Linked DNA regions of Oreochromis niloticus. The protein of the gene in region 2 purifies or fractionates together with the protein of the main gene of each other region. This does not show direct contact. Links are inferred from orthologs where the notes say so. Each region holds a gene or a part of one and is shown on either strand. Other genes may lie near its edges.

Region 1 (7,000 bases), on a different chromosome or scaffold from region 2:
GAAGCTCATTTAGGCTGTTCTGTGGTCAGACAAATCGAAATGTGAAATTCTTTTAGGAAAACGTGGACACAGCAACTTCTTCTACACATTAAAGAGCGTGTCATCAGCACTCAAACGCTTAAATCTCTGATGATATGGGAGTGTGGTAGTGCCTATAGAATGGGCAGCTTGCACATCTGGAAAGGCACCATCAGTGCTGAAAGGCATACAAAGGATTTAAAGCAACATATGCTCCCATCCAGGTCTCCCCAACAAACTCTTGGCAAAAGAACGAATGAAGAAATTAAATGAACTGATACTTTTCTCAAAATGTTTCCTTTTCTCATTTTAGACATGTGATGTGTTTTCTTTTCAGTGGAAGTGACAAAAGATTCAGCAGCAACATCATCTCTGCGAGTGGTGACTCTTACTCAAGAACACACAAACCTTGTTTTCAGTGTTGTTTCCATGCGGGTAGTATTTTCCTTTTACTGAACCACACATACTAAACAAACCACTAGAGAAGAAAACATCCATTTACCCATGACTAGAGGCTCATGCTTGCAACAGCGTGCAAAGTGAGCTCGCTCCAACTGAGAGGAAAAGTTAGTAAATTTCACTTTTTTTTGGAGGGCGTAAAAGGTCTCCTTAAAGATCCATGACTCTGCTCCAATTAGAAATAAAGATCTGTCCTACAAATTCTCATTTTTTTCCACAAATTAAGTAATATTTGATACTAGCTGGTAATAACTGATGTGGAAAAAGCAAAACAGCATGACTGGAAATTTACTGTCAGTGACAGAGACGTAGACTGGGAATCACAAACTGTTCCAACCTGTCACGGTTGAAATCACAGAGAATAACAGATGTATCTAAAACACCCCGGAGGTTTGAAATATTGCATATCACAAAGTCCCCACAGTTAGTTGGAAATACAAGTGAAAACACTGCAATCCATGATGACACCTGAGATAAGAGCTCGAGGCTTGAGGCTAAAACGTCCAACCGCCACACAGACGTTCTTTGGAAATAAACAAGAAGCAACGACCGTGATTCAAATCTGGATTAGATTCTTAATGTACCCCCCCCCCCCTTACCCCACCCAAGGTATCATGTGACCTCTCTGCTGACCTTAAAGAGACTGAGATGGGCCACAAAATGTAACCTGTTGCCCTCTAATCTATAAAACACTCAATAAATCCAATGGGTTATGTGAGGCGTGAACAGAGCAGAAGGTGAAGACATAAATAGTTCTTAGTAGGCACTTTCCAAATATGCATTCACACAATACTGAGCAACTGACACATTGGTAAGAGTGCAGTGTTTGCAGGATACCTCAGGTGGTGGCAGCTGGACCCCAGCATGGTGCAGGGCTAAAGCAGTGAAAACAGCATATTAGCTTTTTGGAATAGGAATATTTTATATACTTTTAATTTCAAATGTGGAAAAAAACAGAACAAAAGTTAATGAGAAATAAAAATACATTCATTATCTTTAAATTCTGCACTTTCCTGCACTTTCAGAGGGACTCGGGAAGTGTCATCTGACTTAAATGTGACACTAGAGTTGGAAAACTGCCCAGCTTATGGGAAATGTAAAGCATTTTAATGCTGTTTACTCCTAACAGCTGAGTCACGAGATCAAAGTGCTTGATTTGATTGGATTTCATTTGAAGGGAAAGGTTTAAATAATTAGCTGATCAGTGGGCCTGTTTATTTTTTCCCCATCAGTCATTTCTCAAGCACAAATGCCAAACCTTCTCCTCCAAAAGAATTTGGCGCTAGATAAAAACTGAATGTTTTCATCTTTGTGTCTAAGACTGTTAAAGTGGTGGCATCTTGGGCTTTGAGACATCATAACAGGCATTTTAACTATTTCCTGTCTTGCAGAGATAAAATAAAAACAGGTGTTTCTTCAGTGCTCTAACATCAACATTGACATTGGACTAACAACACCACCTCTTGAACTGTAATGCATGTAGTTTTAAAATTATGTAATGAAAATCTGAGTATCTATCAGATTTCTGTTTATTAACACATTTTATTTTCTTAGTTTTAATTGTTTGGGGGTTTCTTTGTTTTTTACCTTTTTGTGCCATCTTTAAAAAGATGTGGGAATTACAAAGAACATTGGGATTAATAGTTTATGATGAAGTATAAAAATAACTTTTGTCAATTTTTGCTGTTAAGGAACATTAATTATGCAATCATCGGTCCCTGTGAGAATCACATCCGTCATTTCTCCCGGTCAAAGCAGGCCGAAAGCGGTCAAATCAATCAGTTCCTACTCTATAAAGAAAAATATGCTCGTTATCCGGGACTAAACGGTGCCCTGTGTGGCTGTAAACCTGGACCAGGCTGAGCTGCTGCTGGCGTTTTATTACTGCGGGACTGCAGACTCGACCCATTACTCAGCAAAAACAGCGTCAGGCGCACATGGAGCTGGTGCGCTGCAGCACATTACTCATGCACACAGCGAAGCACATGATTTGAGGCTGGGGGGCGGGATGGGGGGCGACAGGTATGTTTGCAAACATGTAGGTGAACTCACAATAAATGCACAAAACGACAGCTTTTACAGCTGGAAGCATACGCAGATACAGCCCCCCGCCCCCGGGTCTGTCTCTCTGCTCACCGTGCAGGGGTGGGGGGGTCTTGTTTACTGTGACAGAGCTAAAAAGGCGCAAGTGTCGGCTGTACCTTGCTGTCCAGGACGCTGTCTCCCTCCTGGTGCGCCTTCACTTCTGCGCTGAGATCCCCGGCGGAGGCTGAAGCTGAGGCTGAGGCATCCTCCTGGCTCTTCCCGTCCTGCTGCGCTGAGTTCTGTGCTCCCATGGCCAACTCTTTTCGTCTTTGGCTACTTTCGGTCTAAATAAGCCTCCGCAATAAACGGAGCCAGAGCAGAACGACTGTGTTTAGGGAGCGAATATCCAAAGCGTCCGATGTACGATGCAGCTCCGCCCCGGGGTGGCCTGGATCTGGAGTGATGAAGCGTCGGCACTGGCAAACTCTTTCAGGACGCCCCCACCTCTTGCATCTCCCGTCAGTATCACATGGGGGGCTCCGGTGTGCAGCGGCACGCCTTGCAGGAGCAGAGTTGGATGGAGGATAAACAAACGAGGGAAGAGGAGGTCAAGTAATTAAAAGGATAAAGGGCCTTTTCTTCACACGCCGCATTAATCCGTTAGTTTTGTTCTGTTCTGGTAAATTAAATTTGAGCAATTTTAAAAACACAGCAATGACACGAGGGTAGAAATCCGACAAGTTTGAGCAGAAGTTGTAAACATCACCACTGATGCCACTGGTAAAAAGAGAAATTAAGAAGAGTCATTGGGCATAAAAAACAGTGAAATAAAATCAAACCATGGTGCACATTATTTCTTGATTTTGGTGACAGGAAGCATATATAAGGACAAAATTTACCTGTGCACTTTTACAGTTTGGTCCATGAGTTGCTGGAAAATGACACATTTTTTCCACATTCAATGAGTTTTAAATAAGTCAAAGTGTGAGAAAAGTGCAGACTTGTAATTCAAGTGGTTTAACAACAAAAATGCATTTTTTAAATTTTTTTTTTAGGAATTAAAGACATTTTTATGCATAGAGCCCGATTTTCAGAGGCGCAGATTGAATTGGTCAGCTGACTGATAAGCAGCTAAGACCTCTTCCCTTGTTGTCATGACAAATTTAATCAAAGATCTAGTTCATTCAGAATATTGAACTTGCATTTAGTAGCTTTCACTGGAATATCTAACACGAGAAAAGAAGATAACAAAAGGTGGTCAAGAGGTGCAAACCACTGGTTACACTCAAGAACAAGATTTGACTTTGCCAAATATAGATATAGATATATAAATGTTGTAATTCTTGCACCAGAATGATAGGAAGAGAAAAATATGGAGAGAAGGAAAGAGAACAGCTTGTGATCGGTCAAACATAGTGGAGGAAGGTAAATGTATGGCTGCAGAGGAACTGGCTCACTGGTGTTTTTTGATGACAGAAATAGCAGGATGAACTGTGAAGTGTACAGAGCTACACTCTCTGCTCAGATTCAGACAAATGCTACAAAATTAATCATACAGCATTTTACAGTCCAAATGGATAATGATCCAAAGCTTACTGCAAAAGCAACCTGAGACTGTCTCACAAAGAAATGAGAAATGGCCACATCAGTTACTTGATCTTAACCCAAACAGAGTATGCTTTTCAGATATTTAATACAAAACTGAATGCAGAAGGACCCGCAAACAAGTGACGACGAGTGGCAGGGTGAATTGTGACAGAATGACGGCAGCAAAATGGTATTTAGACATGCTGGGCAGAGCTGAAGATGCAGGATAGACAGAATTACATATCCATGAGAGAGACAGCTCAGGTTGATCAGTTTGGAGACAAAGTTAGAGAAGAGGATGCTAGGGGTAGGGTAAGACTTCTCCTCCTGTTTAAAAAGGTTCTCCTGGCTTTACTTTGACATCCACCTCATTTTGTATTGCAGAGAAAACAATCTTTCTTGTGCTTCATGTGAAAACACTAACACAACCTTCATAACACTTGCAACACAACAAACAGTGTCTCTGTTATTCCAGCTGAATTCGCTCCATGACGTAATCTCTCTGACATCTCTTTAGATCCTGATTTTTAATCTTGTTTACATTTTGCTGTGATTCATTGTTCTGATGAAGTGTGTGTACAGTTACTCTGGTTTACAGAACTGGTTTGTAGGTAATTGTAATTGTAGGTTGAGTCAATGTGTCATTTTGTTTGGAATTTTTGAACACAAAAATTATAGTCCAAAATTTTAAGCCAAGTTCACACACGCCTAAACTTAAGGTCCCGACAGCTAAACCAAAACACAAACCCAAGCACGTAGTGCAACAACACAAATGAAGGCTTTACACAGAGAAACACTCAGAAATAACAGGATATAACCTGTCAAACAGTAAAACACACAGGACACATTATACAACTATGAAACAATAACAGCAACATGAGCTGAAAGGGACTGGAGATCATCTGCTACTTACTGGTAATATAAGGTGGACTCATTTAAAGCAACATACACTGATTGTTATGACCACTCACTGCTGCTTTATACATCTTTTATTTTTTCTCCAGTAAAAATAGCTTTGTGTCATGGAGACTTCCATCTTTGAATTTTTAAAACCCTTTTGACTTTGTAAACTGGCTTTGACTGGGATTTATTTGAGACTTCCAGAAAGATTTGATTTAAATGTAAGTATGTCTAGAAGATAAGGCAAAATGTCTGAATCTAATAAACAATGGTAACATCATTGTTCTGATGCAGCCAAAGTGATGTTTAATGTCCCTTAGCAAGGTGCACCTCGATCAGTCCAGTTTTGGTAGCCATCATCAAGCTTCTGGCATAATTCTGCTTGGATATTTGCCCACTATTCTTGGGATAATTGGTATAGTTCATTGATTTGATTACTTAGAAGCTGGGACCACGCCAGGAAATCATAGCCAACAAGTTTTCAGTAGGGTTTAGGTCGGGACTTTGGGAAGATTAATGGGAAACTGGTTAGGATGATCAGAAACAATCATGGAACCACTAAGGCTCAAGCTTGCAATGAAATGGAAAGTGCTAGAACTCTGTCCACAGTGAAGCCAGTCTACATTGCCATTTACTGTCCGCATAGACAAGCCAAAGAAAAGTTTTGGGGAGAAAAGATAGAGCTATTGGGCCACAGTGAAAAGAGGAATGTGGAGATTTCAAGAAGAGTAACTGAACACAGTATTACAATAACACTCAGATGTCAAGCAGAGCTGACAATCTTGTAAAATCTCGAACAAACTCATGAACACCAACTGAGACAGCAAGACAGAGGGTATGTCCACACTATAAATGAGCAGTATTGTAGTGCCGGTGTCACATGGAAGAGGAAAAAGGAAGGATGTTCTCATTACACTGAAAGCATTACTAGATATGTCATGCTCAGAGCTCTATGAAATAGTAGCGTAAGGGTACGTTAAAGGCACATTTAGAGGAGGGAGTGTTCAGCAATATTCACAAGCAGATACTCGCCACTTTATAGTTTTCTGCAGACTGGATGGCTCTAGAATATGAACCAGTTTGTTTATTTGAGAAGCATAGCATATAGACCCAGGACTGCTGAGCAGCTAGAATCTAAACTAATTGAATAACTTTCAATAGAGGACCCAGTTAATGTAGCACTTTTTTAGTATAAAGGTATTGAAACAACTGAGAGTGAATTGGATGTTTGGGGACCAGGATCATTCAGCTTCAACTATTTGGACCAATTTTCCAGAAACTCTTGGAATTCCTCTCACATGAAATATTCAACAGGACACTGTCCTTGGTACTGAAATTGGAAAATCTATTAAATCTGTCCAGAAGTGCTAAAAGATGAGAGCCTAAACAATTTCTCAGATGGAGTCAAAAACTCATTGTAAACAACTCTAACCGAACAAAACAAGGATCTGTCAGCGCATTACAGTGCAATGCCAAAGTGTACAGCTTATCAACACATCTTTAAATCTGTCATCAGATCAAAACAAGAGGGTTCAGTCTCTCTCGCTCTCTCACACACACACACACACACACACACACACACACACACACACACACTAAATCTGCTGTTGGGGTGCTACTGTATAAGATTCCCACTGCCAGGTGAACACGCAGAATAACACGGAGACTTTGAAAGTGTGGAATGCCAGCTATGACACATGTGCACACATGCACACTTGGCTTCATGCTGAAAACCCAAACACCTCATAATGACAGATGTTGCACCCTGGGGTGCTGCTGGGGGGTGGGGGTGGGGATCATCTGTTTTCAGACACCGTTCCAAAACACATGGGAAGAAATGAGAAAAGCACAGACAATCTTAAAGGTTTCATCCGTGAAAGGAGGCACGATTGTATCGCAGCATCTCAAAAAGAATCGCGAGACGATAGCAAGAAAACAGCTCATGTCAGATGCTTGACGTAAAAACAGAAATACACAGTTTTGGAGTGAAGAAAAGGTTTATTATTACTGC
Region 2 (7,719 bases):
AAACAATGAAACTCCCATTGATTGATCTATATTATTAAATACCTCATTAATCAATATGGAACATATTATTGGACTAACAATACTTCTTTGTGGAGTACCAATCTGTACCTCATAACCTGTACTGAACTCTTTTCCTACTCGTTCAAAAATTCCTGATCCATTTCTACATTTTTCCTTTAATATCAATCTGATGCAGCTTGACCAGGAGTCCTTCTTTCCACATCCTATCATAAGTCTTCTCAGTGTCTAAAAACTCTCCTTGCCTTACTTCATGTTGTAGACACAGAGCTGGATCCATCTTGCTTCTTCTTTCCTAAAACCACTCTGAGGATATTTGATCTTACCATTAGTTTCTAAGAAATAATCTTTCATTCACCATTGTTTCCATTATTTTCTCCAAATGAGATGTTAAAGTTATCGGCCTGTAACTTTCAGCTAAGCTCAGATCCTTTCCTGGTTTACAGATGTAACAAAACAGCCTTTTCTCACTGAGTTTTTTTACTTTCTTCCCACATTTTGTTAAATAATTCTACTATTATACTCTTACCAAAATTACCAAGGTTTTTAATCATGCAATAACTAATTAGATCTGGTGCTGGAGCTGTATTACTTTCTTTAAAGCATTATGTAACTCTGCTATTGAAAACATGACAGTTATCAGTCTTGTCGGGCCTCCAAATGTTTCCTTTGTGTTTCTGCATTATTTAAACTTTCTATGCTGTGAACTTTGCAAATGTTCCTGCCAATATTTCAGCTTTACTTTTGTTATCAACTATTTATCTTTCATTATCTTTAATTGTTGGATAACCATATTCTTTTCTGTAGACAGACATATATTTATTAGTTGTCCAGACTCTCTCCAAGGTGTTACAGTATTTGATTCCAATATTCCCTCTTATTCCTGTTTTAATTATTCTTCTAACTTCTGCCTGTTTCCTTTTAGAGCATTACATGTTTAACACATAATTATTATTATCAGTGTTTTAAATGCTTTATTCCTAGTGGTAATTATGGCTTTACATTCTTGTGTCCAACACACACACAAGAATGTAACACATTAACCTTTCCTTTTTATTACCTCTTTTCTTTGGGATAGACCCTAGGATAGACTTTAAAGTTTAACTGATTAATTGGTTGATCAAAATCAACATCTTCCATTTCCATGTTGTCATTATGATGCCCCCATAAAGTGCTGTGTGAGTTAAAGTCACCACACCAAACTGTTCTCCCTCCAATCTCTGACAATTCATTCCATTTCTCCCTTCTTTAACTTTTTACATGGATTTTAAAAATGGATTACTTTGATGCTTCCTTGCTTAGACCATACCTCCACAATCATTACTTCTAATTCTACTTCAGTGGTTAGTTGATTATACTTAACTCAATAAACATTGCACATCCTCGTCCATTTCCACCAACTCTGTCTTTGAGTATCCTTCGACAACAAAATCTAGAATTAGTTTAAACCATGTTTCTTGTGTACACATGATATGACATATGATGGGTTTGAATGTAATGCACACATCTATGCCCTGAAGCTCCTGTCCGTTTGCAGTTAAGCTCCTGGCGTTCTATTGAAGGATTAACATTAAGGTATAACTTGGGAGTGTGATGAACATTCTGGATGACTAAGATCCCAGGACAGATCCTTCATATTGGAGAACTGATCTTTTCTGTTTTTGTTTTGGCTCGTTCTGAACCGTTAATGACAAGTTTGACCGTTTGGACAAACTGCTTTTTCCATCTGTCCCTCTGTCTGTTCCTTGTTCTTTGTCTGATCTTCTTTCCTTGTTATTTACCTTCTTCAAAGCTTCTACATAAGATACTCTTTCCTCTGCTTCGTTACCGTGCAGCCACCATATGCTGCTGTACGAGCCCCTCCACAGATGCAACATTTAACCTGATTACTGCCACATTCACCATACGCATGTTCTCCTCCACATCTCACTTTTCCTTTGCACACACTGGCTATGTGACCAAACCTCAGACACTTATAACACCTGAAAAGTGAAAACATAAACACGAACACTAAAACTCATGTATTCCACCACGACTTTCTCTGGTAGGCTGTTACTTAAACTCATGCAGCACTGACAGACCATCCACTTTTCCTCCATTTCTAAAAGCTTTCAGTCTTTTTATTCCAGTGATCTCTCCTCCTTTGGTCATTTTCCTCATTTCCTCAAGATTTTCCCCAATGAGAATACCTGAAATCACTCCTCTACATCCTTCCTTCTCACTGACTAAATCAAACAAACAAACACCACACCCACTGTAACCATATTAATGTATTTCCTGGTAAAACGTGCATCCATACTCTAATAAGACATAATACTTTCCTCAAATGACACAGTGTGTAGTGTCTTATAATCCTTAATTGACTGTCTTTGGTAGCATAAATAAGCAGGTCAACTAGTAGTTACAGTATGTAAAGCTGTTAAAATACAAGGAAATATATAATAAATGCTGCACAGTAAGGATCTGTAAGACTCCCGCATGTCTAAAACCATAACTTTGAATCATTTAACCAATAAAACTCTTAAAAGTCATAAAATTAATCAGCTATAATTATGTGGCTTAATAATAAAACATTAGAATTCTTGGGCAGTCAAGAACATAGTGTCATTGTTAGTGTGCAGTAAATGTTTATACACAAATGCATATAGTTATCTTAATAATAAATGTAAGTTAATTTCCATCACTTATAGTCTTCTGTTCACTCAAATGCACCACTTCCAGTTCAAGATACAGATTAAGGAGGATGCCCCAGTTCACCTGAAAAGTTTGGTACCAGTGCCGCAGAAAGTGCTGGAGCTGGGAATAACTAAAGTTCCCAGTAGTTGGTGGTGCATCCGCACTGTTCCGACAAACAGAAAGATTTTTGTATTGGTTTCTGGTAAATAAATGCCTTTTCTAACTTTCATCCTAGAACTGGTGACTGTTTGGATAAAGGATATGCGGACACCACCCAATCATTTCCTGTTCCCACTACTGAGAGGCCTGGTTGGATGGTATAGAAGAATTTGTGTCCCGATTTGCAGAGAGAGTAAGTTGGGTTGACTGACCTGAGCAAGAAATTGGGCCCTAACAAGGTACACTGAACAGAGGAATGTGAGAGAAGCCATAAACCCCCAGCCTGTTCTCCACAGCCCTGACTTTGACAACCAATCATCCTGCAAACAGATGCAGAAGGGGTTCTTTGTTTGCTGCTCGAAGAGGCCACTGGTGCTCTCAGAGCTGCCATGTTTGCTGGTAAACTGAACCTTTGATCAATAAAAATAAACTTGGGCTGTACTGAATTCAGTCTTTGCGACGGGATGCCATGGCAAAGACTAACGCCTCTCACAGATACATTGTCCAAGCTTGATCAAACATGCATGGTAATGTCCTCCCCCTCAACACAATTCAATTGCAGTATTTGACAATGGCCACAGTGCCATGTAGCGGGAACAGGAAATGTCACGTTTTGCATGTTGGGGTACAGTTTGAAGGTGGGCGCCCCCGGAAACCACAAATTTGTCCAGAAAAGCATTAAAAGTTGGACTTGTGTTACACTGTAAACTGTGAGCTTTTATGCAAAAGGCATGACCCTGGCGGCACGAAGAGCGATATTTCTATAACACACAGAAATCTAGTCCAAACTTTACAGTCATGATGACAGTCCTGCCGTGAACACACTGATATGCCCACTGTCAGCATAATTTAGAGCGCCACCTGCTGGAAACAAGAAATGTCATGTCAACATGTTGCCACTTAAGAAGCATTACTCCTTCTCTTCTGTAGGGCTAGCTAGATGCTGAAGTACTGCGACTAGAACTTTTGGACATCTGCACTCGTTCCGGTGTTGTGCCCCTTCACCCCACCCCACCCCACCCCACCCGCACACAGCGCTCTCTTCAAATGTTTGAAACCCAAAGTATTAAGGCTGGTTTGAAAAAGTAGAAAGTATAGATATTTGTGTTAAAATCTAGGATGTAGAAAAACATGAGAAAAATAAATACTCGAGTACAGACAGCTATGAAAATAACGTACCTGCAGTAACAACGTATTTGGACTTCCTTACTTCCCACCTGTATTATAATGTTAAACCCCCTTATATACCATTTCACACAGACTGTCACAATCTGCATGGGGTATGCAGATTGTGTTTTGTGAACTGGACCAAAGAGAACCACACACACGTAGAATAATAACAAAACCTAAAGACAGTAAAACAGAAGTATCCATCCATCTTATCCGGGCCGGGTCTCAGGGGCAGCAACCTAAGCAGAGAAGCCCAGACCTCTCTCTCCACAGCCACCTCCTCCAGCTTGTCTGGGGAACACTGAGGCATTCCCAGGCCAGCCGAGAGATGTGTCCCGGGTCTTCCCCAGGCCTCCTGAAGAGCCCAAAACACAGTAATAATCAGCAGACTCGGGACCATGACAACAGACATGCAAATACTTTTTTTTTGTATTAAATTGGAGGGGGGAAATGATCGACTTGTATGAATCTAACCTGAATGTATTTCACGTATTCGCTCGTTTGGTAACTTTTTCATGAGGTTTCAGTTAAACTAGTCTGAATGCTGGTACAGTGGGTAGTGGGGGGTACAGCGGTAGTGGGGTACAGTGGGTAGTACTGCATCTTTTGCGGCTGCACCGAGCAAAGCTGCGTCAGACCGGACAGGGGCAGCATTCCTGGTCAGGACAGCCATGAATGTGATGGGAGGGGCGGGCAGAGCAGCAGCAGCAAATCTGGGGTCCAACATCCTCTGTGCTGAAGCTTTTCTGCACCTCTTCTGCTTCTAGACCCTCACGAACCTCAGCCCTGTCCACGAATATTTCCAGGTCTTATGCACACAACGATAGGCGGTAAAGCGAAGCTCGGGGTGGCACCGCGTTAGTGACGAAAACCACATTTTGTTTGATTTTTCCCCACTTTGGCCCGGTGTGCCTCAGCAACCAGGAAAATTGCTTGGTGTAGCTGTATCGGAGAGAAGGCTCGAGAGGAGGTGAAACTGCGGGACATGATGACCGAGAAAGACGCATCGACAGAGAAGATAATCACAGGTGAGTTAGCATATCCCGTAACGTCTACAAACACCTTTGTCGGTACAAGCTGCGGTACTCTGATAGCAGTTACGCAGCAGCTTTTCGGTGTAGTCGCCTGTCAGACGCGGAACTCTGATATTTGCCCGACTGTGGCACTTTGCGCTTCGATCTAGTTCTGGCCAAAAAGCGTATGCGACACCTTTGCTGCAGTGCAGAGAGGCTGTGTGAGCTATGAAACCCTCCCTGGGTTTCCAAGGACACTCGTGTTGTGCGGGACCTCGCCCGCTGACTTGCACCGAGCAGGAACATGTAAGAACATGGCGATGTTAAAAGTTCTCGCTTTCTCTGGCTCGTGTTTTCCGACCGAGCTCGATGTGGCAGGTCGTTCCCGCAGACACAGACCAGGTCTGTCCTCCATAACGGTGCGGGGTTCGGTCACGTGGCCCATCCCACCGGAGCTGTGACTCAATGCAGCAAAAAAAGAAGTCTGCACCACATCCTCAGGTACTGCTCATCCCCGCCCAGTCGGAGCTGGTACGGCGTGTGATGGAGCTGGAGTCCTGAGCTGTGTTTCACGTCAGCGGCCTGCACAGAGTCTGCTGTGTTAAAGTTGGTATCAGTGGCTTGCATTGGGAAATCTGTCATTTTATTATTGCTTGCTGAAATAACATAATTGCCAACAGTTCTGTCTTTTGCACTCCAGATGTACATTTAAGCATACCAACCAACATTTATCAGAATCAGCACACTTTATTAATCCCTAAGGACATTATGTGGGTTACAGTTGCTCCACTATAGTAACAGAAACAGAATAGACTATTTAACAATACAATATGTTACAGATTTACAAATATAAGAAAGACTTTTATTTTGACAGTTTCAACCTGTAGGGTCATCCGGCACCATTTTATACGATGTACCCCCCCACACCAGCAGTCCTGTACCTATAGCATTTTAATGATTTCTTGTTAGGGCCCGAGCACAAAAGTGCGAAGGCCCTATTGTATCTGCTCTGTTTCTTATTATTATTATTATTATTATTATTATTATTATTATTATTATTATTATTATTATTATTATTATTATTTCGGCAAATGAATCGGCCTTTTGAGGGCCTAAACATGCTCGAAAACTCATGAAATTTTGCAGACGCGTCAGGTCTGGTGAAAATTTACGTATTTTAATGTCCGTAGACATGTCCAGGGAAAATTGGCTCAGTAGCGCCACCTAGAAAAATGAGAAACGCGAGCCCCCGAGATGGGTATGACCTACATGTATAAAACTCGGAACACATATCTAGCGTTCGGAGGCGCACATAAAAGTCTATTATGGCCATGTCCTAAACCCAACAGGAAGTCCGCCATTTGGAAGTGAAGGTGACATTTTGGCTCTAATTTTGCCATTTCCATGCCTCGAACTTTTGCGAACTCCTCATTGGAATTTCATCGTACAAGCTTCATATTTGGTCAGTGTCAACTACACACCTGGGCCATGTTAAATTGCGGAGCTTTTGAGTTTTCGGGTTACTGTGAGGCCGTGGCGCCACGGCGAATTTCGATGACTCGCCATGAAAATCTTATTGCCTCTCGTTCTGTCATACATTGTCCGACCTTGACCAAAGTGGACACATATGATAAGGCTCCACCCCTGAACATATTTCAACTGCCATATTTGACACCAGGGACAGCGCCACCTAGTGGGAACAGGAAATGTCATGTTTTACACTTTGGGGTACAGTATTGTAATGGGTGACATCTGCAGCCTCAAATTTCTCCAGGAAAGCCTTAAGGAGTTGGTCTTGGGTTACAGAGAAAACTGTGAGTTTTCGCTGAAGGGTGTGACCCCAGCAGCATGGCGAACATTGAGGTCTCGCCATGAAGAAACAAATTAGTGTAACTCAATGAAATCCAATCTGATCAGTACCACATTTTACAGGGATGATGTCAGACCCGCCCTGAACAGATTGATATGCCCATTGTCAGGAATACGTAGAGCGCCACCTAGTGGCACCAGGAAATGTCATGTCTTTCATTTTGTTGTACTGATTTTCACAGGTTCATCGTGGCCACCTCAAAAGCGGTGAATATCACCATCAGTCCCTCTTGATGCTTCAGTGAGAAAATTGTGACTATAAACTGAACGGCGCACCCTGGTGGCAGCGCAGTTCACCATGAAAGATGAAGTGGCTTTTGAGGGGCTTGAAAAGTTTAAAAAGTCTTGAAATTTGGCGCACACCTCTAATGTGATGAGGGATTTCTTTTTATATGTTCATTTTCCTTGAAGAGCGCAAAATGGCTCCACAGCGCCCCCTACAAAATTTCAAAACAACAGCCCCTGCTCTGTGTTTTATGTATGAGTTTGAAACCTGGCAAGCTTATTGGAGATATCAAGATGTACAAAAAAGTCTCTTGGAGCAATATCCCAAATCCAACAGGAAGTCAGCCATTTTAAAATTAATGTGTAAATTTGGCGACATTTTCCCCTCTTTTCAGGCCTCATACTTTGACGAACTCCTCCAAGGGATTTCATTAGATTTACGCGATCTCCTGTGTGTGGAATCTAAAGACCTTTGTGATGTTAAATTGCGAAGCTTTTTACGTTCAGGGAAACGGGGTGGTCATGGCGGCACGTGGAGTTTCACTCACTCGCCAAAAACCAGTAACCTGCTGTCGCTCAAAAACACAAT

Evidence for each region. The genes of interacting proteins can lie anywhere in the genome.
Region 1: the proteins of hspa12a (region 2) and akap12b purify together in Homo sapiens (affinity purification with mass spectrometry; 3 studies listed by BioGRID and IntAct, with this or other methods). This does not show direct contact. The link is inferred for Oreochromis niloticus from reciprocal best matches to the Homo sapiens genes HSPA12A and AKAP12.

The regions. Positions count from the first base shown.
Region 1 is NC_031980.2:11,539,559-11,546,558, reverse strand, and holds the start of akap12b (A-kinase anchor protein 12b), read right to left. Parts: upstream 3,008-7,000; 5' UTR 2,814-3,007; coding exon 2,679-2,813; intron 1,348-2,678; exon of another isoform or gene 1,315-1,347; intron 1-1,314. UniProt on the Homo sapiens protein: Anchoring protein that mediates the subcellular compartmentation of protein kinase A (PKA) and protein kinase C (PKC).
Region 2 is NC_031978.2:32,299,127-32,306,845, forward strand, and holds the start of hspa12a (heat shock 70 kDa protein 12A), read left to right. Parts: upstream 1-4,683; 5' UTR 4,684-5,008; coding exon 5,009-5,051; intron 5,052-7,719. UniProt on the Homo sapiens protein: Adapter protein for SORL1, but not SORT1. Delays SORL1 internalization and affects SORL1 subcellular localization.